4 linked regions of the Tamandua tetradactyla genome follow. The protein of the gene in region 2 binds, or shares a complex with, the protein of the main gene of each other region. Links are inferred from orthologs where the notes say so. Each region holds a gene or a part of one and is shown on either strand. Other genes may lie near its edges. The genes, in order: YWHAG, TLE6, NLRP5 and KHDC3L.

The links.
Region 1: the proteins of TLE6 (region 2) and YWHAG are in contact, whole or in part, in a cryo-EM structure (PDB 8XI3), measured with the Mus musculus proteins. The link is inferred for Tamandua tetradactyla from reciprocal best matches to the Homo sapiens genes TLE6 and YWHAG. Residues at the interface, in NP_444484.1 of Mus musculus: Phe137, Leu138, Ser139, Glu140, Ser141, Asp142, Leu144, Gln145, Leu295, Arg347, Asn430, Leu447, Gln470, Met472, Asn489, Asp510, Asn511, Thr512, Met530, Pro553, Arg555; in NP_061359.2 of Mus musculus: Lys50, Arg57, Arg61, Lys125, Asp129, Arg132, Tyr133, Gly174, Leu177, Asn178, Val181, Glu185, Phe201, Asp202, Ile205, Ala206, Leu208, Asp209, Glu213, Tyr216, Lys217, Thr220, Leu221, Ile222, Met223, Gln224, Leu225, Arg227, Asp228, Asn229.
Region 3: the proteins of TLE6 (region 2) and NLRP5 are in contact, whole or in part, in a cryo-EM structure (PDB 8H94), measured with the Mus musculus proteins. The link is inferred for Tamandua tetradactyla from reciprocal best matches to the Homo sapiens genes TLE6 and NLRP5. Residues at the interface, in NP_444484.1 of Mus musculus: Pro147, Gln148, Pro149, Val150, Cys158, Gln159, Phe161, Leu162, Ile163, Gly165, Leu166, Trp167, Leu169, Phe170, Ser173, Arg174, Gln175, Lys176, Asn177, Ala247, Asp248, Lys249, Phe250, Lys252, Pro253, Ser255, Trp256, Leu261, Glu262, Cys265; in NP_035990.1 of Mus musculus: Gln185, Phe188, His283, Arg307, Glu326, Lys327, Lys329, Ser330, Ser334, Pro335, Leu336, Met444, Ala447, Glu448, Trp451, Tyr465, Tyr507, Tyr508, Glu511, Glu515, Asn517, Phe520, Phe522, Leu540, Met543, Lys544, Leu547, Val571, Lys574, Leu575.
Region 4: TLE6 (region 2) and KHDC3L share a complex: the UniProt entries of both Homo sapiens proteins name them as parts of the subcortical maternal complex. The link is inferred for Tamandua tetradactyla from reciprocal best matches to the Homo sapiens genes TLE6 and KHDC3L.

Annotation. Positions count from the first base shown.
Region 1 is NC_135349.1:10,368,737-10,376,596, reverse strand, and holds the start of YWHAG (14-3-3 protein gamma), read right to left. Parts: upstream 3,013-7,860; 5' UTR 2,825-3,012; coding exon 2,738-2,824; intron 1-2,737. UniProt on the Homo sapiens protein: Adapter protein implicated in the regulation of a large spectrum of both general and specialized signaling pathways. Binds to a large number of partners, usually by recognition of a phosphoserine or phosphothreonine motif.
Region 2 is NC_135337.1:79,425,904-79,433,639, reverse strand, and holds the start of TLE6 (transducin-like enhancer protein 6), read left to right. Parts: upstream 1-4,712; 5' UTR 4,713-4,834; intron 4,835-5,390; 5' UTR 5,391-5,399; coding exon 5,400-5,474; intron 5,475-6,126; coding exon 6,127-6,212; intron 6,213-6,648; coding exon 6,649-6,694; intron 6,695-7,736. UniProt on the Homo sapiens protein: Component of the subcortical maternal complex (SCMC), a multiprotein complex that plays a key role in early embryonic development.
Region 3 is NC_135342.1:3,519,137-3,526,011, forward strand, and holds the start of NLRP5 (NACHT, LRR and PYD domains-containing protein 5), read right to left. Parts: upstream 3,009-6,875; coding exon 2,996-3,008; intron 2,014-2,995; coding exon 1,960-2,013; intron 1-1,959. UniProt on the Homo sapiens protein: Component of the subcortical maternal complex (SCMC), a multiprotein complex that plays a key role in early embryonic development.
Region 4 is NC_135331.1:129,252,956-129,259,670, reverse strand, and holds KHDC3L (KH domain-containing protein 3), read right to left. Parts: upstream 1,884-6,715; 5' UTR 1,680-1,883; coding exon 1,511-1,679; intron 1,305-1,510; coding exon 1,125-1,304; intron 825-1,124; coding exon 703-824; 3' UTR 542-702; downstream 1-541. UniProt on the Homo sapiens protein: Component of the subcortical maternal complex (SCMC), a multiprotein complex that plays a key role in early embryonic development.

The sequences.
Region 1 (7,860 bases), on a different chromosome or scaffold from region 2:
TGTTACTCTATTCTTTCCACTCCTCCAAGAGAGAACAATTCAAGCCACATGACTTAGAATAATGGTTGGCAAAATTCCACCTCTGAGGACTCTAGAGGTGTCAATACTCCATTAATGATAATAGCCATTGATCTAGTCTCCTGGGAGGGCTAGAAGAAAAAAATAGAAAAAAGATAAAAAGAATTTTAAAGCCTATTGACCCCACTAGAAAGATTTTATAAAATATATAATTAAGATAGCCTTTTGGCTACCTATATATCACTTGAGTGGTACCACTAAGTATTTACTTGGTACCTTATGGTATTTTCCAAATTTTCCATGATGAGATCACTTTTATACAGTAAGAAACAAAGTTTTGCAAGTAATTGCCATTTTTGAGCACCTAAATCCTCACAAACTTTTTCTAACAGGTATTGCCCCATTTTACAGATTAGGAAAGTGAGGGTCAAAGTCACCATAACTGAAAAGGTTTTAAGTTTCTCCATACTCTGTCAGAGAAGTAAAAATACAGCAAGACAATTTTCCCAAAGATCCATCTAAAATGAATTTGATAACTCGTTTGTAATGTGGTCTCATCATCTAATGACCCAGGAGGACAGCCATAATTCTGAGTTTTTATCAAAATCTACCAAGTATCTGTAATAATCCTAAGTATGCAGCCCCCTCCACACAATTATAAAATATACTCGTTTTAAAATTTGTTTTTATTCCATAATCGGCCAATTACTTAAATAGGTGAAATGAGTGTGTAAAAATATGAATGTATCTTACAAACTTTCCTGGGAAAACTAGATAGGAACTTCAATAAAGCATTATCTAGAGGTCACTAATGTGCATATGTAAGGATACCTCATTATTTTTGGACCCACAGGGCCATTCTATTGCAGAGCTCTTATCTGGAGAAAGATGAAGTCAATCCCACTATCAACTAATTTCTGCATTACCTTGGACAAATGCCATTTGCAAACTCCCTACCAGCCCTTAGGTGCATTGCAGCCTCTGTGTCATTGTGTGTGACATCACTGGGTTGCTATGGATATAGGTGCGAGGTCACTGGCTTTCCTGTGAAACTAGAGATATGGAAAAATTAAAATAATCTAAATAACATGAACAGACATTTTCAATTCTGATATCTATTAAAAGTGCAATTTGTGTCATTTGAGCTTTAAAATATTACAGGATAGCAGCTGTGGCAATATAGCATATTAATACACCAGAACCCTCAATTCACAGAATCGAATTCCCCTCCTTAATAAGAAAAAAAATTTTTTTTGTTAATGTAGCTTGTTTAAATATAAAGGCATCAGCACTGTCATCTTCTGGGAACTAACGTAGTTACTCAAGAATCAACCTCTATATCTATATTGTTTCATCACAAAGATTTAGCATGCAAGGTACGCTCTTACATTCATTTCAAACTGGAGATGCATTTTAATACCTTTGTTACATAAGACGGGAAGTTAAATATTAAGATAGTGGGAGACGCAAAATCATTAATTTTTTCCAAATAATGTTCAAAGCTTCCTCCTTCCTTTAATCTTAAACTGGTTGACCATTCACTAGGTAAATGTAATGTTACTGACAAAATGGTGCAATACAGGCAGGCATCTGTATCCCAGACAAAATGCGACAACTGGAGGACAGTATTCTCTTTTCATTAGCCTAAGGATGCACTGGCTTTATTTAAAAAAAATAAAATTAAAATTAAAAAAAAGGCTCAAGTCTATGTAACAAAGCAAATTAAAAAAAGACATTTTCCCCTTTAAAACAACTCCTCCCAGCCTCCACCCAGTCTAGGCTCTCTGCAATATGACAAATGCAGAATCTTCTGGAATGACTTGATACTGCCTCCCACCACCGCTTTGTTTGCAGTATCAGATCAGAAAGAATTTTTTTCAACTTATAGGAATTTCAACAGACGCGTGGCTGTATTTTAAAAAAAAACAGCATGTCACAAATTGACAACCTTTATTTTAAAGCCATTATCTGCTCTTTTCAATGCAAAGCATTAGGAAAAAATGGAAACGGCATGTTCGAACAATTAACAAGAACACGCTAACGAAACAGACGGTCCCCTTTCCTAAAAGCCTAGAGGACTTGCTTTGGGAAATGGAGAAAGAGAAGCCTTTTGTTAAGTCAAACATGAGCAAGAAGGCGACGATTTTGCACCACTGACCCCAAGATTTCAAGAGAGCCTGAATTTCTCTGGGAAAGGTTCTAAAGGATCTGCAGGAAAGCAAGAGGAAGATGGAGGGAGCGGGGGGGCGGGGGGGGGCGGCTAGAAAAAGAGACCTGCCGAGTGAATGGGAAAGGCGCCGCCCAGACACCGGGGAGAGAAAGAGGAACCGCTTCCATGCGGTCCCCCGCCCCCACGCCCTAGGCTGGGAGGAGGGGAAGTGGGGCACAAAGGATGCGCACGGCCCCGCTCAGGTCCCCAGCGGACCCGGAGTACGCGGGGGCCCGGAGACCCGGCTCCCGTGACCAGCCCCGCAAGACCCCGCCCCAGCCTGAGCCCGGGTAGGGCCGAGCAGGCAGCGCCTCCGACCCTCGGGAACGCGCAGAGGACACGAGCCAGCTCCCGACCGCCATCTGGACCCTCCACATACCCCCTCAGCGAGCGAGAAGGGGGGACCGAGCCTGCAGTCGCGACAGGCGACAGGTCCCGGAGCCCTTAGGGCCAAGGTACACGTTTCCGAAAGGGTTGGGGCGAGGCGGGGGGAGGGGAGAAGAAACTCACGTTCTTCATGGCCGCGGCCATGTCGTCGTAGCGCTCCGCCTGCTCAGCCAGCCGGGCTTTCTGCACCAGTTGCTCGCGGTCCACCATCTTCGCGGGCTGGGTCGGGCCGGACGAGGAGACCAAGGCGGCCTGAACGGCTCGGAGGGCGGCTGCGGCGCGGCGGGAGCCCGTGTGCCGGAAGGACCGACCCACAAAGCGACCAGCTTTGGCGGCGGTGGCGCGGAGGCTGCGACTCCAGCTGCGACCGCGGGACCCGGCGCGAGGCGGCTGCGGCGGCTGTGCGTGCCGCGGGCGGACAACCCCCTGCGGCCCCGCCCACGCCGCGTGACGCACGGGCTCCGCCCGCCGCGCGCCCCCGCCCAGGCCCCTCCCGGCTCCTTCCGCTGCTCCCGCGTCCCCCCTCCACTCAGCTCACCGCCCCAACCCCCCACCTCTTCTGGCAGTCCCCTCCTTCCTCGAAGCTCACCAGCACCTCTTTTCCTCCACTTGACCCCCGTTCCTTCGCCCCAACACCACCAGACACCCCCACCCCCACCCGTTCCCCTCCAGACCACCGCCCCGCCGGGCCGCCAGCGCGTGGGCCCCTGGGAGTTGTAGTTCACCCTCGGGCGGGGTGATCTTTTGGACCCACCAAGGACAAAGGGGCAATGGAGACTACATCTCCCAGCGGGTGGAGCGCGCGGGCGGAGGAGGATGGGGAGGGGACTTAAATCTGGCGGCCGCTGGGGACCCCTGGCGGGAATGAGAGCTGCGTCTGCCCGAGTGAGTGCTGATTCACGGCCCCGCCCCCTATTCCCCGGGAAATTACGAGGGAAGGGGCAAGGGCCTCAACTCTGGGCCCTGTTTCCGAGGTGAAGCAGCAGGCCATGGAGGTTGAGAGGGTACCTCCATCGTAGAGCCAAACCGTCAGGGTGGGATCTGCCCGCGGGATGGGTGAATTAAGAGGCCAAACCGTGGGGGACTGTCACCCCCTCCTCCAAGGAGCCAGCTCCCCATCCCCACCCTGAGGTTTTGGGGCCTGACTCGGTAAAAATATGGTGAAAACATGAAAGACAAATACTGGCCCGGCATACCAGTCAAGTTACAAAAAGGATGCAGCTGTGTGCAGGTTGACCCCTGGAGGCTCCTTCTTCCTCTCCAGGATGGAGTGCTGCAGATTCCACTGCCAGTTACCAAGAGCCTACCTAGGCTATGCTTAGGACTAGGTTGTGTCTGGACATACACGCTGAGGTCAGACCGACAAATCCTAGCTCATAGGGTTCCCTTTTTGAGATTCCGGGTAGCTCCCACACACTCCATAGTTTTGACTGCAAATTTTCTTTATTTCATTTATTCAACAACTATCTATTGACCACACACTATGTACCAAGTACTGTCCTAAGCAATGGGGTACAGCAGTGAACAAAACAGTTTAAGCTCCTGGCCCACATGGAACTTAGCATTCTAAAGGGGAAACAGAAAACAGGCAAGATAAATAATCAATATGTAGACTATGTTGGAAAGTGATACGAAGCGAAACATAAAGTAGGGAGATGAAGTGCGGGGTTATGTGAACCTAGAATGAAAGAGATTCTGTGAAGGAATATTCCAGACACTGCTAGATGCTGGAAGAGGAGAGCATGGAACCCTGCCTTCAAGAAATTCAGCATGTCTTAAGTACTGTAAGTATTCATAAAAAATTCTTCCAGGCTGGATAGGAAGAGTAGGAAGAGGTTCTAAAAAGCAGCATTTCCGACCAGCTCTTAAAGGATGTGTAGGATTTGAAAGCAGGCAGAGGGCAGAGGCAGCAAGACTCAGAGGCAGGTTCCTTCCTGGCATATTTATTGGCAGGCAAAGAATCTGATGTGTCTGGTGACTCAGGTGATGGGCAGTGAAGCTGGGGATGGAGCCAGGAGTCAGAACCTGAGGGGCCCTGAATGCCAGGCTAAGGAGTTAAGTCTTTATTCTGAAATAAATAGGATGCCTGAGATGGATGCAGAAAACCATCAGAGCTGCATTTTGATGGCTTCATCACCATTGACTCCTCGGTGCCTGGCACAGTACTTGGCACTTAGTAAGCACATGGGACATAGGAAATAAGGAAATGAATGAATGAATGAATTCACTTCAGGAAGACTGCTCTGTCAGGAGGGTAAAGAGATGGACTGAGTGGAGAGAGAGACTCAGAAAATAGCTGACTCTCCTCCAACACAGCATCTGCCTTGGCCCCTCTTCCCTTACCACACCAACCCAGCAAAATGCAATCCTGTTGGTGAATAAACCCTCCCACTTCCTTCTGTCTCTTGCATGAGTGGTTCACCAAGTCATTCCTCTCTTTCTTTTGCCCCCCCCTGCAGCCTGGCATGAACCACTGTAGTCTGGGCATCACGAACCCATGGAAATGAGCCCTTACACCCAACCCTGGTTGTCCACAGATGGATTAAATGTGTCACTGGTCCAGGCCCAGATGCTAAATCTTGGGAACTTCCTGGCACATTTCTCCCTGCCTCTCTGACCTCTCCCCTCAGTTCCTTCCCCCACCAGACCAATATGCTTAAAAAAAAAAAAAAAAAAGCTCAGGCCAAATCTAGTTGGAAAAAGTAAAGCAGATGCAAAGAAAAGGATGTTCGAGAGCCAAACAGGAATGACATCTGCAGTCTCTACATCGAGGCTTCCCTCCAACAGTGCAGGGGGAACTGGCCCTGCCCCTCCTTTCCTGTTGGATTTTTTTGAGGCTCTGGGTTTAAAGCTACAGCAGCCCAGCAGCCTCTGGCTGTTGAGAGGACTGCCTCCGAGGCAGGGCGACATTACCCGCAGGGAATAGCTTAATATCTGGGCTTCCGTCTCCACTGCCTGGTACTGCTGAAAGAAACCTGAGCAGACAGGTGGAGAACTACTATTCTGGCTTCTGCCTGGTCCCCAGCAACATGTGCAAGGCCTGTCCTTTCTCCATGTCTCAATTTCCCCACCTTTAAAGTGAGAAATTAAACTGAAAAAGCATTAAGGGCCCCACCCATCCAGGATGAGTCATGGTTCTAGATTCAGCATGTGCCTCTTATAAAATGGAAGGCTACTAGAATTCTTTATCTGTGGTAACAGGAGTCTGTGCCTGCAGATGTGAGAGAGGGGCAAATTCCAAAGGTAGAGAAACTCAGAATTGTCCCTGTTTTTTAGAGAGAGAAACTGAGACTCAGAGGGGCTGTGTGACCTTTGGCAGGGCCTGAATGCAAGCCAGGGCAGATCTTCCTGATTCCCAGTAGCAAGGCTGCCCTTCCTGCCGGGGCCATGAGGATCTACCCCATGGCATCTGCTCAGGAAAGGAGAGGCATTGCCCTCGGGTGACAGTCCTAATGCAGGGACACTGGGTAGGCACCTTGTATGGCTAACCTTCTGTCCCCATCTCCAATGAGGGAGAATATGACCTTTAAGTGCATCCTCTCTGGCTGAGTTGGCAGACAAGCAGTCCAGCCAGGTACATTAGTGTCCTGCTGTTTCTGTGCACTCATAAATCACTGCAGCCCTATCCCCTGGCTCCTGGCTTCCTCCTGCGGCTGGAAAGCTCCCTGATTGGTGCGGAAGCAGCAGCAGGAGTAGCATTTTCCAAAGCAGACCTGCAATGCTCCATCCTGCCCTCTGGGAACACCTCCCCATCATAGCCCTAACAGGCTGGGCTGCAACAGGGGCAGAGCACAGGACAAATTCAGAAGCAGAGGATGACAGGGAAATGCCAGTGGGCTGTATCTCCTCCTGATTATTCCAGGGCAGTGGAGGGGCCCCGACTTTACTATTGATCTTGCTGGATGGTCCTGGGCAAGTCACTTTACCTCTCCAGGTGTCAGGTTATGAGTCTATTTGTAAAAAGAGCAGGAGGACTACTTCTTAATATCTTCCAGCCTCTTGCAAAAGCTTTCCAACTGTCCTGCCTTGGAGTCTTCCCATCCTCTTCAGTGGCTGCCTGAAGGTCCTGTTGACAGGGAAATTCTCTGCTCCAAGTCACCTGGGGCTGACTGCTTGTCACCAAATTGGCTTCTCTAACTCCAGAGCCTCACTCTAAAAATGTGAGTTTAAGAGCTCTTAAAACTGATTGGGCTGGGGAAAGGAAAGATGAACAGTTTAATACATCTTTACATTCTAAGTTTTCCATTCTACAAAAAAGAGATAACTTCAAAATTCACCCCACCAAGGGAATGTGGGTCACCATAAAAAGTGGGCCGCTGTCTCAGACAAAGAGTCAGACCATGCATTCTCAAGAGACAGAGGTTTCAGAGCAGAGGAACTAGGCTTGACTCTTCTCCCTAAACCCAGTTGCTTGGGCTACGTGCGTCACCAAACTGGACCTTAGATTCCCCAACCTGTTCTATGAAATGAGTGGCAGTATCCTTTGAGTTGGTAGAGGGTTCTGGAGTGATTGTTTTGAGACCTGGAACTCTAACAAAGGAAGAATAATTCATGGGAGACTCATAGTGAGGGGGCTGAGGCAGATGTTTGGTTTTAAAGGAATCCAAGCTGCAGAGAGCCCACCAATTTCACCTCAATCCAGGAAGCAATTTCTTCATCATCTGGAGCTGTCCAGTACTGACAAGGGCCAAGTCTGGAGAGGGCAGGACCTGGAATCAGGGATCAGAGAGCAGTGGATAAGCAGGACCACAAAACCAATCACTCCAGTATAATGCCGAGTGTGGTTCCCAGCCTGGCCCCCTAATGCCTGGGTCAGAGTCTCCAAGTGTGGGGCCTGGGAATCTGTATGTTTTCAAAGCTCTCCTGGAGCTTTTTCCACCACCAGTGGTCTGACAGGGATGACCTTGAAAGGCTCTGCCTACTAATTCTGAAGAAGGCCAGGCTGGGTTGCCTAAAGGGGAAGTGGAGCCGCCATGAGGCCTTCCTGGGGCCAACTAGAAGGGGTAGGGAAGCTGGCATTTCCTCCTGCTGGCTGTTCTCCCGAGTCAGCCTAGCACTAATGCTTGCAGAGTACACATCCCACTTGGACATGTAATAGGAACACTGGTGCTGACACAGCAGGCAGGCAGGAGCCCAGGCTGCACCAGGGGACAAGAGGTAGGCACAGACACTCAACACCAAATCCTTGCTGTGAGCCTAAGGACAGGCAGGGGCAAAAGGCACCCTCTCCAAGCTGAGCCCTGAGT
Region 2 (7,736 bases):
CGGCAGCCCTGGGAGACTCAGACAGAATCTGAGCTTTTCCGTACAACTGGGAGAGGGGGGCAGATGTAGGAGATTCAAGACCTGATTTCTGCCCCACCCCCACCCCATCAAAGGCCCTGTGGTCCCTTCTGCAGCATCCTGCCCAACCCCAGTGGGGACAGGTATCCAGAGGGCACGCAACGACCCCTGTGGGACGATGCCACCTGCAACCAAGGCCATCCGAGGAAAAGAATTACATAAAGCAATGTATGGCCATGGAAGCAAGTACTGTGCATTCCACTACCCATTAAGTAATCATTTGTTGGGCACTTACCCAACAAGACAAAAAGAACTGGGGAATGAGAAAACATCACGGAATGAGGCATCCAATTATGAACACACGAGTGATGAAGTGCTGGGGGTGGGAGAGGCCTCTCTGAGAAGAGATTTTTCAATTGCATTCTGGATGGCAGGATGTCTGCTGCGCTGTAGAGAGAAAGCAAGTTTCAAACATGGACAGCTATTCAGTGGTCCAACTTTGAGCCAGCGAAGTCACTTCCAGATTCCTGACCTTCAGAAAGCGTCTGAGATAATAAATGCATATTGTTTGAGCTCATTGAGCTTGGGGGCCATGTGTTATGCAGCGGTTAGCTAACTAATGCATCTGGGTTTCTTTAGAAAGGAGAGCTGGGTCCTGAAGCTCGAAAACCTATACCTGGAATGGATGTAACTTTCTCCAAACTTGGGCCCATGAGGAAGTCTCATCTAAGGCCATCAGATGGGGTGTTTGGTGGAGGAAACCAAATTGGATCTTGGTGTTATGGTGTGAGGCTTCTGAGCAACATTTTGGAGCAAGATGGCCTGGGTTCAAATCCTGACTTAGCCACTTAGTACCTGTGTGGTCCTGGGTAGGCCACTTAACCTCTCTGTGCTTCAGTTTCCTCTTCGTTAAAATGGGGCCATGACGGTCCATGGAGGAATTAAACAAGCTCCCATATTTCAAGGCCTTGGAGTAATGTCTGGCACCTAAGTCACATGTGCCCAAAATGTGACTGCCTTTGATTTTCAGTGATGAATTTAATTTCTCATTAAGCCTCCTTCCACCAGGAGGCAGAAGGCAAACCTCCAAGTCCAGGTAATCTCAATAAATTTGCTTTTCCTACAATAGGGAGAGAGTGGCTAATCTTGTCCCTTCCCCATTTGCAATCATTCTTTCCATAAAGTCTCTCCTTACCAAGTTCAGATTTTTTTTTCTTTTTTATTTGATACCTACTTCCTCCAGCCCAGGGAACCTTTTCCAGCCTCAGGCTCTGATCAGTCCTGTCTTCTCCTAACCTTGAGGCTTTCTGTATTTTATTTGTTGTGGTGGTTTTGGGAAAGCAAAAGTTCCAAAGCTTTTGGAATGTGAACGCCTTTTCTCTCAAAACTGTCATCCAGGCCCAGAGTTTCCAAGTAAACCTTAAAAACTCATAAGCCAGGAATAAAATCTTTGCTTCCTCCCTTCCTGTCTGCTGTGTCATCCTTCCTTGCTGGCCAGCCTGGAAAATCCAAGAAATCATCAAAGGAAGACCCAGGAGTGGAAAACACACCAAGTTAAGCTACCAAGATATGATCCCCAAAAAGAGACTTTTAAACAGTGGCAATTGAATGATTACTATAAAATCTGCGGATTTCTGCAGACACCCAGGATTTTTTTTCTTGCTTGCTTTTTTTTTTTTTTGAGATTCATTTTTTGCCACTTACCTGAGATCCATCTGTTGAAAAGGCTCTTCCTTTTCTCCGCCCCCCCTTTTTTTTTCCACATGAGCAGGCACCAGGAATCAAACCTGGGTCTCCAGCATGGCGGGTGAGAACTCTGCCACTGAGCCACTGTGGCCCGCCCTACTTTTTTTAAATGTAATTTTATTGAGATATATTCACATCCCCTATAATTGTACGATCAGTGGTTCACATGTTATGAATCTATATAATACATAAAAATAACCTCCAGGATAACCTGTTGACTCCATTTGAAATCTCTCAGCCACTGAGACTTTATTTGGTCTCATTTCTCTCTTCCCCCTTTTGGTCAAGAAGCCTTTCTCAATCCCATGATGTCAGGCCCCGGCTCATCCCAGGAGGCCTGTCCCACGTTGCCAGGGAGATGCATACCCCTGGGAGTCATGTCCCATGTAGGGAGGAGGGCAGTGAGTTCACCTGCCAAGTTGGATTACAGAGAGAAGCCACATCTGAGCAACAAAAGAGGTTCTCTGGGGGTGACTCTTAGGCATAATTATAGGTAGGCTGAGCTTTCCCATTGGAGGAATAAGTTTCATAAGAGCAAGCCCCAAGATCAAGATCAAGACTGGTCCATCAAATTGGCATCCCCAGTGATTGTGACTTCTCCACATGGGGCAGTTTAATATTTCCACCTTTCATTTTTGAGAACCTCAGATCAGGACCGTTCAGTGGAATTGGGGGGCTGAAAACATTTTTGGATGAAAATATCCAGTCTAGGAGTCTCCAGCCACACATGGCTACTGAGCCCTTGCAACTGACCAGTGCAACTGAGGAACTCAGAAGTTTTAATTTTATCTCATTTTAATTTAAGTAGACACATGCACCCAGTGGCTACCACTTGAGACAGTGCAGCTGTAGATAAACGGATGTGCTGGGGGAAGAGGCATAGAGGGAGGCAATTAGCAGTTGGTCCATAAATAAAATACACTTCAATGAAGGACGGGTTGAGGGATTGGGGGTGAAAGGCTTTCTGTATCTCCTACAAAACAGCTCTCACTTTCTCCTCCATACACCAGCCACAGAACCCACAATATTACATGTTTACATCATAACCTCCGGGTGCTAGAAGGGTGTGGTGAGTGAGGAGAAGGAACCAGGGGTGGTAGTGATGGCTCTGGATGAGAATCCCACCAGCATTACATTGATTTTGAACACAGGCCGGGTTTAGAGCCATCCTGTGAAACCACTGTGATGTATCACAAGGTCAGCTCCAATCCAAATCATACTGGAGAAAAATAAAGCAAAAAAAGGAGACTAAGGGGATTGGTTTTTTTTGTTTTTGTTTTTTTTAATAGGGATCCTCAGTGGAGGATTCACTGAGGAGGTGACCTCTGAGCACAGAGCTGTAGGAGGTGAGGGAGCAAGCCAGTGCAAAGGCCCTGGGGCAGAACTCTGGACAGACCAATTACCATCTGCAATAGGCATTTTAATATTGGCCCAAAACAGAACTCCTGAACCCCATAAATCCCACTCCTATACCCACAGGAGGCTTCCCTGAAACACACCCCTCTGTCCTCACCTCCTGTTATCATCCCTTCTGGAGTTTCTTTTTTGCCCCCATCCAGTCCAAACCGAAGTGGTCCAGTTATTCCCCACTTCAGAGCTTTAAAAAAAAAATTATTATGGTAACATCCACATATTTTCATTTTAACCCTTTCCAAGTATATGATGCATCTATGTTTATTACATTTGCAGTGTTGTTCTACCATCAACACTAGCCCTTACCAACTCTTTTCTATCCCCCTCAACCTCTGCACCTATTAGGCGTTCACTCCCCATTCCCCACACCTAACCCCGGACTCTACTTTCTATCCCTACTAATTTGCATCTTCTAGTTATTTCATGTAAGCAAAGCCATACAACATTTATCCTTTTGCATCTGGCTTCTTTCACTCAACATGAGGTCTTCAAATTTCAGCCACATATTAGCGGAGACTGGAAAGTCCTTCCTTTTTACTGCCGAATGATATTCCATCGCCTGCGTGGACCCCATTTTGTTTCCCCACTCATCTGTTGATGGACACTCGGGTGGCTCCCACCTTTTGGCTTTTGAGAAAAATATCGCTAGGAGCACAGCTATCTGTTCAAGTCCCAGCTTTCAACAGTTTGAGGGTATATATATATATATATATGCTGAGACTTGGGATTGCTGGCTCACATGGTAATTCTGTATTTTCTGAGAACGGCCAGGGCCAAACTGTGTACACAGCAGGCTGCATCCTTTCACGCTCCCAACAACGGCTGCAGGCTTTCTGCCCTGGCTTCTCCCTCTGCCTGGAACGCCCACAGCTCTTTCCCACCGTAGACTTCAACCTGGCCTGCCAGCCTGGAGACATCTGCTCTTCCGCTTTCTCCAAGGAAGGGCAGTTGGGAAAATTCACTGATAAAACGCCTAGCCCAGAGTTTGGCTCACAGGAAGCCGGGGATAAACCGGAGTTGTTAAATTCTCTCCTGAAAGGGGCTTGATCTCGAGGTGCTGAAAACCCCAAGCCCCTCATAAGCTAACCCCTGGCCGGACCAAGCAATCAGGGTTCTTACCAGATAATGCAACCTTAGGCCACCCAGCCCTTCCCCCAGTTTCACCCTCTGACCCCTAAACCCCAGCTCCCCACCCCCACCCCCCGCCCCTTTATAGCCCCACCGTTTGCCAGGATCCCAAACAGCCTGCGGCTCTGCACGCCACTCTTTCCCGCAGCGGGACAGCAAGGGTTAAGCGAAGGCTCGCGGCGCTATGAGTGACAGCCTGGCGGGCGACCGCGGCAAACCGACCAATCGGGCACGGCGGCCGCGGCCCACGTGGGCAATCGACCTCGCGATTGGCCAGCGCCTCCGGCGGTCGCCTGCGGATCCCGAGCCCACGTGCAGCTGCTGCTCATTCATTGACCAGTTTCACGGACCAGGTGGCGGCGGGGCGGGGCCCGGGCGGGGCCGGGGTGGGGCCGGGGCGGGCCGGGGCGGGGCCGGGTCAGGTCAAATGGCCCCCAGGGGGAGGAGAAGCTTTCTTTTGGCTTGAACTTGACCGACCCTTGCAGTGCCGTCCCTACAGCTCCTGCCCTGGGCCCCCACCCTTGGGGAGGTGAGTTGGTGGCCAAGTTTCCTGACTGGGGAGGAGGCTGGAAGGGCCTTGAAGGACACAGCGAAGTAAGGAAGGGGCTTGGGGCCTTATGAGTCATTAGAGGCGAGAGAGGTTGCTTTGCTCCTGCCTGTTAAGTTCCTCCCATCTCCGCTAGCTAACTCCTACTCATCCTTCAAAACCCACTTCCAAAGATCTTCCCTGCTTTGAAAAATTATCTCAAAACCGAGGTTTATTTGGTTCGTATTCTGGGCAGAGAGTCTGTGTGTCCTATCCCACATCATAGGGTGAGGCCCAGGGCCCAGTCCTTTTTGGGTCCCCACTGTTAATCAGGACAGCTGGAGGCACCAGAGAGCGTTTGATGAATGAATATAGGTTTTAGGAACGCTGTGAGGAAGCTGGAGGTCAGGGGAGGGGTTGGGGGTACAGGACTGTGTCCTGGAGAGAGACAATGGTGTGTGGGGCAGGAGGCCTTGGGACACGATGGGGGTTGCTTCTCCCCCTGGAACTGCTGGGATTTCTGCTCTCAGGGGACTTGCCATCTCCTTTTTCCTTTCAGAGTCTGAAGATGACCTCTCAGAGCCCACCCAACTCCCAGGGGCACTCTGATGGGGTCGTGAACGTCAAGACAGCGGGAACCTTGGTGAGGAAGACGTGGTTTGGCATCAGCAGGGGGGACAAGCATGGGAGCTGCGGGGGGGGGGTGTCTCAGAAGTTAGGGAACTAGGGGGATAAGGCCTCATTCATTTCTGCTGCTCCCGATCTGTGAATCCACCTGTGAGATGGGCTAATGCTAGCCATGCCTCCCAGCTGGTAGTGTTCACCCATCACTGGCACCTGGAGTCCCAGGTGTCAAGACACTTTCTTTTTTAATTAAATTGACTTCTGATGACACAGGTGATAAAACACAGGACTACATCATCCAAGTTCATATTTTACAAGCAGAAGCCTCCCTCCTCCAGCCCTTCCGAGAACCCACTTTTTCTAGCAGTTTAGGGCAGAGGTGCTCAAACTTTTCTGCAAAAGGCTGGATGATAGATAGTTTAGACTTTGTGGGCCAGGGGGAAAAATTAAAGCTATTCTGCTGGTACTTAAATACCGAGAGAGAAAGCCAATTAACTTCAGGTTTTAGAAGGACCTTCCTTATCTCTACGGGGGTGGGTCAAAATCCCAGGGGACTTCAGGGTAGCGCTAAGGAGGCATCAGATGAGATGCTGATGAGACCTGAAAGTCTGAGCGCCTGAAAATCTTCTTCAGTTCTACTGACTTTTTTTTTTTTTTTTTTTTTAATCCAGGCTGAAACTCAGTCTTCTAGTTCCAAGGACCCTCAGGAGCTGACAGCTTTGGACAAACTGGAAGAATTCAAGTTACATTTCTCCAGGTGAGGGCGATTTGAGGCAGCCCTGCATCCCACCAAAAGGGGAAAGGATCCTTCCTGGTCCCTATCCTTGGGGCCCTTATGGGTGACCCAGAAGCCTCTGGGTCAGTAAAGGAGGTAGGGGTGGGGGGGTGGGGATCTGGGGGACCAGAATGGAGCAGATGGCAAAAGGAAAACTCAGTAATACTGATTCTGGCTTTTATTTAAAATTTTAATATTGCATTCAGCACGAAATGGGTAACCTTACATTTGACACTGTTGGAAAATATTGCATTAAAATCTTATTTTCTTGATCACTGAGCTTTTGGGTGCCACCGTAAATTTGGCTCTTGGAGTGAATATTTGCCCTGCAGTTGGGGTTGAGTTGAGGGGCCGGGGGGCTCATACTCTGGGGCCTCCTGAGCTGCTGCTTCTAGTCAGTCTTTCTTCCCCCACTCAGGTTTTCCCCCAAATTGATGGCACAGGTGGAGAACATTTACTGCTTGGTGAGCCAGACCCGGCAATCCCTCAGAGCAGGTGATGTAAGGGGAGGGGGGAATGGTGCAGGTACCTGGGCTCCCAACAGGGGGCTGCTGCAGCCCCTGGGCCCTGAAGGGCTGACCTCTTTAGCTTCAGGAATCCTGTTCAGGGACTACTTCCACCTTGACTTATTTTTTGCTTACTGTGGGCAAGCGAGTAATGGAGCCCGCTTCTCTGGGTGAGTTTTTCCCTTTACTGACTTTGCAGTGAAAACTAGAAATTCCATATTGAAAGTGAGTGATGGTTCAGACCAGGTTGGATGTTCAGGGATACGGCAGATGTTTGGAGCACTGCTCTTCGAGAATCTACCCGCTAATGCAGGGCAGTCTTCTAGAACTTTCCACCACGATGGGAATGTTCCATGGTTACAGAGTTCAAATTGGTACCTGCAATCCATTTGAAATGTGGTGATACAACTAAGGATCTGAATTCTTAACTTGATTTAATTTAAATAGTTTCCCTTGCTAGTGGCTCCTTCGATGGACAGCACAACTCTAGGTGTAGGGGAGACAGACAAGGTAATAGAGAAACCAGTTTCACAAACAGGTAACAGGGGCGAAAGGAAAGATTTTCTTGAGCTAAGGTAGCAGGAAGGGTTTATCAGAAGAGGTGTTAATCAGGATGAGACATGGAGGATAAGAGTCGGCCACCCCTAGAAAAAACAGGGAATAGTGTATCTGGCAGAGGGACTAGCCAGTGCAGAGGCCCTGAGGCAACACAGAGCCTGGTGTGTTGGAAGAACAGTGAAGAGGCTCTGTGACTAGAGTGAAGGGAGTGAGCGCGAGGAAAGGAGGATGGAGAGTGGACTGGGCAAAGGGAGAATGTTGACCTTCAGTTCCTGTTGAGAATGAAGTCCAGTGGGCTCCCTGATTAACTCGGGGTATAACAGGTAAGAGTAGGGACCAGAGAGGCAGAGTGATTTGTCCAGGGTCACACAGCTGGGGAGAAGCACATGTGCTGCTGACACCCCAGACTCTTACTCACCTCCATTGACCACTTTCTGGCCTG
Region 3 (6,875 bases), on a different chromosome or scaffold from region 2:
CCCGAAACAGTTTAGAGGTAGCACTCACTGGACAATTGTTATGGACTGAACAACCACCTCGAGAAGATAATAGCTATTTCCTGCATCCTCCCATTTTTTTCTTTCTACCCCAGATCATGTCCTACTCCAATGAATTGTTATTAACATTATCGTAGCAGATGGCAGTTAGCACAGCCAGTTAGACCAGTGCACTCATAGTCCCGAGGCTATAAGTACAGATTCTACATAGATAATTCAATGAGAGGGAATATATTTCTATGGTTACAGGTACCACAGGCTCCCAGATCAGAGTAACAGCTCCAAGTTGAAGTTCAGATATGTCCCTTTGGACAAGTGACTGAACCTCTCTGAGTTTCCTTTTCTGGAAAATTGGAACTAGAGTACCTAAATTTCCGAGGGTTTCTGTGAGGTTAACAAGCAAAGCATTCAGCTAAAGGACTGGTGTAGGGCACGCATGCGAATTTTAACCATAATCTGGTCTACTAATCACATTCTGGAAGCAAGACTCCAAGTGAAGGAGTATTCTAGGTAAAAGGGTGCTCAGATTTAAGCTGCTGCTGGGGTCACATTGAGATTTTAGAATTAATTGTTTAAGTTTCTGTGTCTGTGGGTGAGGCTCTTTCAACGATTGGATTAAGCAGTTAAAGAAAGATTATTTAAAAGTGAATGAATTTAAGATTGCCATATAGAAACACTTTTACATACACACAAATTGAATAAATGTTGCCACCAAACAATTCACTGAAGAGGTTAGAGGAAAAATAGCAGAACGATGAAATAATAAGAGCGAAACCTCAGTGGTAGGTCAAGAAATCAGTATGTTCTGAGGAGAGTTCGTTTATTTTTAGGATTAGATGGTTGAGAAACTTCCTTACACAGAACTAAGAATAAATAAAAGTTGGAGGCTAAAGAGAAAGAACAAAGAACATTTCTAAGTAACCGTCTGAAGTGACTTACATCATCTCATCTAATCCTCACATAAACATTGAGATATAAAGAGTGTTATTGACCCCACTCGACAGAGTTGAAAGCCAACATTCTGGGAAGCTATATACTTGCTCTCTGTTTCATGAGAACACCTTTAAAGAATAGTTACCTGATTTTAGCATTCTTTCTTTCCCATTCCATCACAGAGCAGGAACTGACTGAAAAACTCTAAGGACACGTGGATCTAATTAGAACCCAGGTGGTGGCATTACCTTAAAATAGACACTTCCTCTTGTGAAATCTGGCAGGGTGGAGTGAAGGACATTATTCCAACCCAGGAATGATGTAGGTTGGAGTGATATAAATTAGAATTGGGTAGTCAAGTTTACCTTCTGAGGACAAATGACTTACCAAAGCTTTCACTTTGCCTCTTTCCTTCCTTCTTCTATACTTCCTATCTCTCCTGGTACATCTGTCTCCACAGGTGTCTTGAATGGTTCACTAGAAGCAGGCAAGATTAAAGTGCTTGAAATCAATTAGATCTAGGTTCGAATATTGATTCCACCACTTATTACCCCAGGAAAGACATTTAGTTTATCCACCACTGGGGTTCCTCACTTAATAAAAGGAAAGATACCCCCATGTTGCATAGCCCCTCAGTAATGGTGAATCAAGTTGACCAGTTACCATTAGCACGATTGATACAGTAACACCCTCAGTCCCGGGATTATCTGTTCTTGACCTGAGTTATAGCACCCCTACTTTGCCCTCCATTTCAGACTTAGAGTCTGGAAAGGGTGAAGGGCTTACCCAGATTCCCACAAACTCATGTATTTCAAAGGTGGACCTTTTGAGCACAATGGGGAAACGGGACTTCACTCATTCAAAGGGGTCTTTGAACCCCTGTCTCTGAGTAGCCTAACAGGAGGCACAGGGGCATGTTACAGGGCCCAATAAGTAGGCTGTAATCAGCAATGAAAAAAATAGGGGGGAACGAAAGGCATTGGGAACAAGAGAGGAGAAAGTACCCACCGACTGGATTCTTCACCTCCAAGCTCAAATCCCACTTCTGGGCCAACTGGCAATCTTGGGTGGGAAAAAAAAGGTTAGGCCCAGCCCCACACCCACGTGGTGAGGGTCAGTAGGGAATCCTGAGCCAGTGACGTCATCTCTGGTCATTGGATGCAACGGGCTCCAAATGGCCATGCTCAGAGTAGAAGTAGAACACCTGCTTTCTGCACCTGCAGGCTCTGAGTCTTCCTATCCGCCTCTCCCACCCCTCACCCCACTTGGTGGTGAGGACACTCCTTGTACACTTCATACACCTGTGCCCAGGACCTCTGGCTGCATACAGCCCTCCCCTGGTTGTCCTGGGAGCAATAATTCTGTGTGTGTGAGTGCGCGCGCACGTATGGTGGTGGTGGGGGTTCTTTATATTACAATAAATCGGCTTTTACTAACCATTCCCTCGAATTATTACTGCTGTTGTTTGTCCAAGCTATTATCTACATAAAACTCTCTTATCTTCAGTCCCCATGAACTCCTAACCCTGACTTTTACTTCTGGTCTGTTTGGCTCATTTATGCCTCCCGTTCTTCAGTATCAGCTTTCCTCACGGTCCTGACTCTGAACCAGTCCTCTTAGATTATACCACCCTTGATGTTGATGTTCCCCTCGAGCACATGCTGATGCTTCCCAAATGGCTTCTGGCAGGTGCCTTCTCAGCTCCAGACCCAGTCTTCCAATTATCACCTACGGCCTGCGGTGGGATGCTCCACGTGCATGTAAAACTCAACATATCCAATTCAAAATGTTAAGTTCCAGTGCCCAATACAGGTCTGGTACACAGCATGCATTCTTGTTTGTTATCCAATGAGTGTCTCCGCCTACATTCTCTCCTTCTCAATTCCCCACCTCAGGTATCAGAAACACTATCCACGTGTGCTGAAGTCTGCACGTTAATGCTTAACTCAGAGGGGAGTTCGTTGTAGTCCTAATTTTAATCAGTCACTAAGTCCTGTCAATCATTTCATTAAATATATTTGTTACAACCTGAAATTGGAATTACCTGGGTAATTCATGATTGCTGCTTTAAATTGGAGAGATAGAAAAAAGTATAAATGAGAAATCAATATCACTCCTTCTCAGTATATATACAAAAACATACACGTATATAGTCCCCTAACCTTATGACATATATGCATGTGTATGTGTGTTCATAAATAGATACATTATCAATCAATATCATAATCTTACAGAATTGGAATAGTGGAGTACACAATATTAGTTATTCTTTTTCTTTTGGCATGGGCAGGCACTGGGAATCAAACCCAGGTCTCCAGCATGACAGGCGGGAACTCTGCCTGATAAGCCACCATGGCCTGCCCTAGTTTTCATTTTATAAATAACTTTCTTACTGACAATAGTCTAAAATGACTAAATGATGTGTATAATATCTTACCGTTGGTTTTACTAATTAGCATAATTATCTTCTCATAGTTGTACCTTTAGATTGTTTTAATTTTGCCACTGTTATAATGTTGAATGGAGATCCTTGTATGTAAATATTTATCCCCTTTTAGTCTGACTTCATCAAGACAAATTCTTAGAGTGGAATTAATAGATCAATTGGTGTGAAACAACAAAAATTTATTTTCCACCATAAAAGAAATATTTATATAATCTCTTTTGAAAAATTATATATTTTTTCTCTAAGCTAAGAAATTATATACAATTATATATAACAGCTTAGCTTAGAGAAAACCATTCTCAAAATTTTGTTATATTTCTTTGATGCATTTATGCCATATCTAACTTTCACTTTATTAGATTCAGTCATATGGAATGTACACAAATGAATGTGCTGGCTAAAAAAATCTACTTATTTTGTATTATAAATATAACCAAAGCTCATTGTGGATAAGTTGGAGATTGCATCATCCTGAGATTGCCATATGAACATTTTAAGTTAACTTTTATCACTATATAATTGCATCAGAAACGTGTGGGCATCACAAGTTATGTAAAGCTTGATGAATTATAAATTACCACAAGATGAAGAAGTAGAGTATGACTGTTATCTCAAAAGCCCTGCTCATGCCCCCTCATGGAAACTACTTCTGCACTTCTCAAAAGATAGCCTCTAGGGTGGCCCAGGTGGCTCAGTGCAGCATTCTCGCCCGCCATGCTGGAGACCTGGGTTTGATTCCTGGTGCCTGCCCACGTAAAAGAAAAAAAAAAGATAACCTCTATCCTGATTTCCAATCACACAGAATAATTTTACCTGTTTTTGAAGTCAGATAAATGGAACTGTAGGGTGCATTCTTTTGTACCTGCCTGTTGAGCCTGTGAAGTTAATCCACACCGATGTGCATTGCAGCGTTTCATTCATTTTCATTGCCGGATAGTATTCAATTGTGTGAACGACCACCATCATTTTGTATATCATATGGCTGATGGACATTTGGATTGTTTCCACTTCTTGTATAATATGGATAATGCTCCTAATAGCATTCTCATACATGTCATTTGGTAAACATATTTATGCATACCTGTTGAATATATAGTAGGAGCTTAATTGCTAGGTCCGAGGGCACAGATGTTTTCAATCCGTTTCATCCTCACAGTTTTTCGAAGTAGCTGCTCCAATTTATACTTCCAAGGGCAAAATATGGGGGCTCCAATTATTCCACACTCTTGCCAACATTTGCTGTGGACAGTCTTTCCAATTTCACTCATTTTGGTGGCTGTGTAGTGGTTTTGACTTGCTTTACCTGATGGTTGGTGGGGCTGAGTAGTTTTTATTGGACATGTGGATATTCTCTCAAGGAAACTGTTTATTCAAGTCTTGCATTCATTTTTCTATTGGGTTGTCTGCCTTTCTGTTATTAATTTGTAGGAGTTATACATATTTATTTTGAATACAACTCAAGGATATATACTGAAAATATATATATTTTTCTCAATCTGTAACTTACCTTTTCTGGTGAATGCGTTTTTTTTTTTGGAAAGGAAATATTTTCTTTCCTTAGGTCACAAACATCTTCTGCTATGTTAACTTTTAGAAGGTATAATGTCTTTCCTTTTGTATTTACATTTACAATATTCTTGGAATTGCTTTTGTATGTGGTGTGAGATAGAGATTCAGACTTGTTTTTTCTGCGTGTTTGTCCATTTGATTTAGCATCATTTGTTGAAAATTCCATCCTTTCCCCAGTCCTCTGCAATGTCAACTTGCCATAAATCAAGTGGTCATGTTTATGGAGATCTGTTTATGAACATGGCCTCATTGATGATAGTGGACCAGGATGAGGTTCTATAGAACGTCCAAAGAGCTCAAGATTCTTTTGGATGATAATGTAAACATAAGCAAAAGAGTTAATATAGACTTTCAAGCAAGATAGTGTATATACACTTCTGTCCTTCCCAAGTCAATGTGAACTACTTCTGATCCTCTTCCTGACATTTCTGGTAAGACTGGAAGGAGTGCTTTCGCCATACCAAATCCCATGGCTCTTTTGACCTATTTAAGACGGCACAGCTGGCACAGCAACTGCAATTGGGGCTTCCACTTAGTTAAGCTTAACAGGAGCCCACTGAGCCCAGGACTCACCTGGTCAATTAAGTAGGGATGTAACAGGGACCACCTCCCCTGGATCCTTGACGTCTTGAGGGCGGCACTGATTTCTGGCATTCCACCTGAGATGCTGTCTTTGCCTGGGGGGGTTAGTTTCCAGGGCTTCTGCTGGGCCTTTCTCTACCATTATGGCCTTTACTCCAGAGGTCAGGGAGCCGATGGAATGACCATCTCCGTTACACACTCAGGGGCCGTGAAGGTGACCCTCTTCAGACCCCCTGGACCTACTGTGCCAAGGCCTGATTTATCCCCTGGTGTCCACATGCCTCCATCCAACCTGGGGCTTTGATGGTACCCTCTGTCTCATGATGACGGTGTTGACTCAAATGCTATATCCAGTAGTCCTTGAATGCCCTGACTATTCTATTCCCAGTGGGTTAGCCTAGTGGATGGCCATGTGGAAATCACTGTTGTTCACACTTGATGTGGTCTGCAGGGTCTGCCTCAAGGGGCCCTTCTATCAGTGGCTTTGGGTCTGGGGACTATATGGAAATCTGTTGAGAGACAATGGTTTTCACAGAGCTGCAGCTCTGGCACGAGGCTTCTGCTCACCCAGTCCTATATCTTCTTTGGTAGTTGCCCACCTACTTCACCCTAGCAACACTACAATCTCTTTGCCACCACCAAGAAGGGTGTCTGATTCTGTAAGTATGTCTGGCTACCATTCTGGCCACTTTGCCCAAAATGATAATTCCATCTACCTGGCCTCTACTAAATCATGCTCTTACCATTCCCTTGCTGCCAGGAAGCCTGTTTCAAAGGTTCCCAAACCTCACCGCAGAATGGAATCAGCTGAGCAAGCCAAGAAACCCCTATGCCTAAGCCACACCCCATTCCACTTAGGTTGCCTCTCTGAGGCTGGGAACCAGGCAAAGGTATTTTAAAGAGCCAGGTGTAATACAATACGCCACAAAGGGTAGGAAGCACTATCCTACTTCTAGCTCTTCTCGTGATGCCAGGAACTCCGTCACTGGTAAATTCCCTTAGTGCCCTCACAAAGCAAGTGACTCAGGGCCCTTTTGGGGAGTACAGTCAGTGGTTGGGTTCTCTGGATTTACACAACAGCAAGCCCACCTCTGAACCTGCTGATTTCAGATAAGGAAGTTCTGACACCTCTACCTTGCTCACTGTGGACCATCTCAGCAGAGCACTAAGGTCAGCTCCAGGTGAACTTGCCCAGATGTAAGTTGTGTATCACAGAGTCTGACCTTGATGAACCTTTATTTTCATCCACATCTTAAGAATAGGGTGGGGGAAGGGATGGTGAGGATCTCAACTGCTCTACCTTCTAAAACAAAGCCCCTTCAGAGAG
Region 4 (6,715 bases), on a different chromosome or scaffold from region 2:
ACCGAGGGAAAGGTCGCTAGTACTGTCTCGCTCACCTCAAGCCTAAGGCAAGTTATGGTAACCCCGGCAAGACTTAATTAACGAAGTCAATGGGGCAGCCCTGGCTCTTTCGCCCACAATTTCACCCACCAGGTCAGGTGCCAGGGCTAGGAAGTTACTTGCCATACCATGGTACGCCCGGGTGGGTCTTCCCAGTCCAGCAGGGCCCCAGCCTCAGGGCAGAGATTGCAATCAGGTTTTTACCATTTCAAATTTCCTCGAGTAGAACCACGAGCTGCTGGGGGCAACTGGGACTTGGGTTTCACAGCAAGGACTGACTCAGTACACCCTAGAGGCCTTGTATCCAAGCAGCGCCAGCTGCATACTGTTAAAAATCACAAGCAGGAGAGGTGCATGACGGCAGAGGTGGCCAGGAACTAAAAGGTCGCACCTGCCTCTGATAGTGGCACAGAGCAGAACTTGAGTGCTGGGGGAGGGTACCTCCCCCTCTTCTTCTACCTTCTAATTAAAAGACGCTTAGGGAAATTTGATTCTTTATTAGAACTCTTTAGATTCGGGTTCGCAAACGTTCAACACTGGGGAGGTCACACCTACACCATTTCCCTAATTTCTAGGGCCGAAGCAGGACCTAGAATAACAGGTCTCAAGAACAGGCTTTCAGTTTAATTTTTGCTTGTCTCCCTTCCCGGGGCCGAGCTGCCATCACAATCTGGTAACTGAGTCTTGGGCAGGTGCCTTCTGAGGCTGCTGCTTCCCGATCTCCTGGGCGGCCGCTTCTCCAGACTGCTGCTTCCCGGCCTCCTCGGCAGGGGCCTTCTCTGGGCCTGGAAGACAAGCAGCATGAGGAGGGTGCCCCTACGCCCCCATTCCCCCTCCCCAAAAGTCCAGTCATCCATACGTGCAACGAAGACGGGAGCCGTGAGCTGTTCCTAATCTGGAGTCTACCACGGAATCTCAGAACTGGGGCCCAATTTGGTATTCCCGATTCCTTGCCAAGAGGAAATCCTCTCCCGGATCCAGTGGGAGGGGGAAACCGCTGTCTGGGCCGCGGGGGACTATCAAGATCCCTCCCAAGGAACCCAGAAAATGTCCGGGGCACCCCTCTCTGCTCCCCAGCCACGTACTTTGAGCCCGGAGTTGGCGGTGATAATCTGCTAAATTCATGACCAATCTGGCTACGTCGTGCTGGTAATAAGGCCGTCCAAATATCAAAATCTCGGCCTCGCCGCCGGGGTCCCACCGGTTCACGTGAAGCAGGGTCTGGCTCGCACACTCGACGTGCGGGATGTGCTCTCCGCCCCGGCCTGCGCAGGGAGCAGAGAAGCCGTGAGGAGCAGGGTGGCTCCTGGGGACTTGAGGGGAAGGGGGGCGAGGGAGACCATGGGGGCACAGGCTTGGGGGCCAAGAGCACTGGACGGGCTTTCCCAGGGCCGGGCCGGATTGTGTGTGTGTGTGGGGGGGAATGAATGGGGAGGAGGGCATTATGGCGGCCACACCCAAGCCTACTCACCGAAGATCTCTTCTACAAGCCAGGCCTCGACGTGAACTGCTCGTGGATTCTTCAGGAACTCAGGGTGGAACCAGTAGGGCGGGTTGCCGAAATTACCGAGCTGCTCGAAACGCTGTCCTTCTCCCTGCTCCAGCTGCACGAGCGTCGGAAATTGCTTGGGAGCAGCCATGCTGCGGCCGGCCTCGCGGGCAGCGAGCGCGGGAGGGAGAACCGAAGGGCAGCACTCGGGGATGGGCCGCGGAAGCTGAGCCTGGGCCTGGGCCTTAAATCAAGGGCTTTTGGCAAGCCCCTCCCCACCCCGCGCCCTTCCCATTGGACCCTAATTCCAGCAGCCCGTATCTTTCCGCGGCCGTGCGAGGGAGCTGGAGCGGCCCGCGGCGGCTGCGGCTGGCGTGCCTCAGGTCTCGGGCCGCGCGGGCTGGGAGCCCCGGAGCGGTCACGTGGTGAAGCTCGCCAGGTTCCGCGTGCGCTCTCCGTGGGGCCATTCGGTCTGGAAACTCGCCCTCTTCCCAGAGCCGCGGGAAAGGAAAGCCGAGCTGCGAGTTTTAGCAGCCAGCTGGAAGTTGCCAGCTGGAGCTGCGAGTTTTAGGAGCCAGCACAGGTCCCCACCTCGATTCTCAGGCGCACACGGTGGACATAACCGTGGACTCAGAAAGGTAGAGAAGAGCGAAAATGGAGAAAATATTTCAGAGTGAAGCAAAGTGGTATTTGTGGAGATCCGGTGCTACTCAGACAGTTCCCGTGGGATCAGCTCATTCCTGAGAGGTTGACATAATTTTATTGGAAAACCTAATTCAAGAAGCTGGAAAAAGCAAAAATTTAAGCAGTAAAAACAATGTCCAAAGGTTAAAGGCAAGTCTCCCTTTTCTCCTGAACCGTTGCCACCGAGTACCGGCCCCAGGGACCACCACTGTCCAGCTTCTCCAGTAACATTTAGAGACCAGTTGAGCACAGGTAAGCCTTAAATACGGCCACACAAACACCCAGTAGCAGACGGTCCAAGTAATTTGGACACCAGGAAGGTCGACTTGAAGCCTTTTTTGACACCTCAGTTCTCTAAATAACGCTAAATATTTCCATTTCTTGAGTTTCCTCTCCAGCTTAAGGCATTATCAGTTAACCACTCACTCAGGAAGGTGAAACTATAGCTCCGGAGTCAGTAGTTGGGAAGTACTTATCAGACCCAGTGGTGAGAGGTCATCAGAATTCAGAGGCCTCCTTCCTGTACTGTTGGTGGGAGTGCAGGAAAAGCTGTGGATGTTTTAGGGTCAGACTTAAGCAGAGACCTAAGTAGATAAGTATTTATACATAAATTCATTCAAACGATCACAGGATGGAGTGGTAGACTTCTGTGGGTAGGTGGAACAACTAGATGAGTGTACAATATAAACTCAAGGATCTGGGCTCAGTAACCACCTCCTCTGGAGGTGGTGAGGTAACACCAGCACTGCCATAGCAATTATAAATCGAAATTTGAGGTCCCATCGGTGTCACCAACACTCCAGGAAGCATCCCAGTGAAAATCTCTGATCAGATGCGTTTCTTTTACTATAAGGCTATAGGACTGATACCATTGTTTCACAGCATAGAGGATATTGGCAGTTCTAAACATGTTCAACTTTTTGTATGAATAAAGATCTTTCATGCCCTTAAAGTTTCAGTATTGAATATATAATATATAAGAATAAAAACGTAGTAATACTAATTGTGTTAAAAAGGAATCTGCCATTTAAATAAAATCCTAGAATATGCAAGCCTACAGGTGAGTGGTTGCCTGGGGTCAGGGATGGAAGGAGACATGGATTGAAAACCTCTGCACTAGGAAACTCTTATGGAAGATGGGAATGTGTGGTATCTCAACTGCTGTGATGGTTTCATGGTTGTATTTATATGTGTCAAAAATGATTAAATTGCACACTTCTTAATATGTGCTGTTAATTGTACTTCAGTTATACTTCAAAGCAGTTAAAAGAAAAGAAATCATACATATGATGTTTTATGTTCTTGTAATATTTTAGATAAGAAGGCTATTAAAGAGGCAGTGTTGCAACTCCAATTTAAAATATGCAGTTAAGTAGTTGATATAGATTTGTGGCTATAAGATGAAATCTTAATTTACAATTAGCATTGGACCGCTGAAGAGAACTTAAGGTCCACCACATTAATAATATTAATTTGATATGTAGGTATTATTTAGTAGTTGGGAAGGCCTTATTTGTTAATAGATATGAGCAAAGTACTTTGCAAAGCTCTTTGACATGTATGAAGATGTTTAGTTAAATTAGTCAGTAGAATCTGGTATCATTCAGAGGACATGAAAAGTAATTTTGAAACTTTCTAGATTTTTTAAAGAGAATATTTGAAAGTGAAACTTGAAAGCCTTAAGGAAGGGCTAAAGGTTTGGTTTTTATAATTTTTAGAAATCAAATATTTATTTTCAAAGAAGCCTCTAGATACATTTTCGGGTGCACAGAAACCACTCCCAGGGCATCAAAATACACACACACACATATTTATACTAATCTTTCATTCCCTTCCCCAGTTTACTTGCATACTTCAGATCGGGTATCCTCCCAATCTCATCACATCATGATTTTCTTAGATAAATATTCAGCGTTAACACTTTGTGAATATTATTCTTGGCAGCATATAAGTTATTGATTTTTTTTTTCTCTTGCACAAAATTTTGCTTTTCTTGCTGTTATTGATTGCCTTTTGGTTCAGATGCTGATTTTTTCTATGTACTCCTCCTTTATTTCCAAACTCTCTCCAACTGTATAAATTTCCCCTCAGTACTTTCAAGTACCTCTTGTCAGCATTACTTCTGCAATTTTCTTAACTGCTCCAATCCAAATTAGCTGCTCTCCAGGGCCAGCATTCTGGGGCCCTCCTGTGAATTCCCAAATCCTATCTTTGACTTGGATCCTGGGCTCAAATTCTCTAGTTTTTTTTCTGTGGAAGAATGCATAATTTTGAGTCCTTACATCTAGGAAAAAAATTTTTTCTATCCACATAGTTATTTGGACATTTAGCTGGCTATAAAATTCTGGGTTAGAAAAAGAAAATTCCCTCATAATTTAGTGCTTTGCTTCATTTTCTTCTAACTTCAGTGGTCATTATGGTCTTAATCTTTGGGAAATATTCTTGAATTATTTTGTTAATAGTTTTTTCTCCTTCTGTTTCCTCTTCTCTTTTTCTAGACTTCCTGTTATTCAAACATTGACCTTCTGATAGTCAATATGTTTCAGTGTTTTGAGAGGAGAGTTATATAGGGGGCAAGGGGGGAGATTGGAGTTGAATTAATGGTAATAGTGAGCTAAGCAAAGGTGAAACTTATTAACTCCAGAGAAAGCGAAAAGGTTTATCAGCATAGGAAAGTATTTATAGTATACTGCGTTGTTCAATTATGAATAATATTCATGTAAATACCCAATATTGTTTTAATCAAAATGACAACAAAACTACTGGAAGGATCAGTGATTTGGAAAAGATGGGTAAGGATGGTGGAGGAGATAGTTCTCCTCTTTACCTGTTGGAAGTTGAAAAATCAAGGGCTGGTAATCAAAGTATGTTACTTAGAGTACTGAATGGGAGTTTGGGGTAGAAGAGAATCTTCTTTTAACGGGTCTTGAAGGACTATTAAATCCTCATAAAAGCACGTATAACTTTTTCAAAAAAAGATTAAAAATTACCTATACCAAATTTAAAAAAGTTATGCCTGTGAGAAAGTTGGAAAGTTAATATTAGCTATCATTTCTTTGCTTTGAGCTAACTAAGTTACTGCAACAGCACTGTTTTTTACTTTTCAATAAAATTTTTAATGTTTCATTGAGAAAAAAAAACATTGGCCTTCTGGACTGATCCCCTATATGCTCTTTTTTCTTTTCTTTTCCATTTGTTTCCTTTATGCTGTCTTGGTTGTCTGGTAATCATTAAGACTTGGGAACTAAAAAGCTAATTGGATCAGAGTGATGCCCCAATAAATCCCAGAGTGATCTGAACAGTGAATAAAAATGTATTTGCAAAGTCCCCTTCAGGGAATGGTGAGAAAGGGGGAAAATTCAACTTCCCCAAGTTGAATTCTTGATATTCTCACAAGCCGTGTGGACAACCAAAGCTATAGCTGAGCTCCCAGTCTTGGGGTTTGTTCATATGAAACTTAACCCCACAAAGGATAGGTCAAGCCTACATAAAATTAGGCCTAAGACCCTAGAATGAGCTGAGACTTAGCATCAAGGGATTGAGAAAACCTTCTCGACCAAAAGGGGGAAGAGTGAAATGAGACAAAGTGGCAATGGCTGAGAGATTCCAAACAGAGTTGAGAGGTTATCCTGGAGGTTATCCTTACGCATTAAGTAGGTATCACCTTGTTATTCAAGATGTAATGGAGAGGAGTCAAGATAGTGGCTTAGCAATGTGCGCGTTTTAGTTTGTCCTCCAGAACAACTACTAAATAACCAGAAACAGTACAGAACAGCTCCCGGAGCCACATCAGTGACCAAACACACAGCGTACCCCAGTCTGGACCAGCTGGACCGGCTGCAAGCCTCCCCAAAACCATGAGTTCCCCAAGCCACGGCGCCTGGCGTCCGTCCCCCACAGGTGGCTTCCCAGAGGAAAAGGAAAGAGATTCTAAACCTGGTCAAGTGGCGTTCGCTCATTGGGCTCACAGAAAAAGGAAAGGGGGAGGAAACAGGTTTTAGTGGCTGTGTTTCTACGGAGACTTGGCAGCCTCTGGATTCAGCAGCGGGACTTCTCAGGCTGCAACTGCCTCAGGCATAGGCAGAAACAGGCTGTTTTCAGGGCTGTCTCCCACCTGTGCATTCCCCAGGGGAGGGGTGAAGCCCAACTCAGGTGGAATCCCTCTCTCAAGGAATTCAGACCCCAGGGCTTGGCAATTTGAAGCCATTAAAATCAGCCTATAACCTCTCCTCTGTCTCCACCATGCCCCCAGCAGGGACAGTCTTCCAAAGTTAAAAGTGCCGCAACATCTTTTGCTGGTGCAACCCGCAGGCAGACACGCCACATACTGGGCAGGATAAGAAAAACAGAGCCCAGAGACTTCACAGGAAAGTCTTTTAACCTGCTGGGTCTCGCCCTCGGGGAAAACGGATGCAGGTGACCCCTTCCCCCTGATAGGAGGCCAGTTTAGTCCGAGAAAACCCAGCTGGAGTCTATAATACCTACGTAAACCCTCCTAAGGGT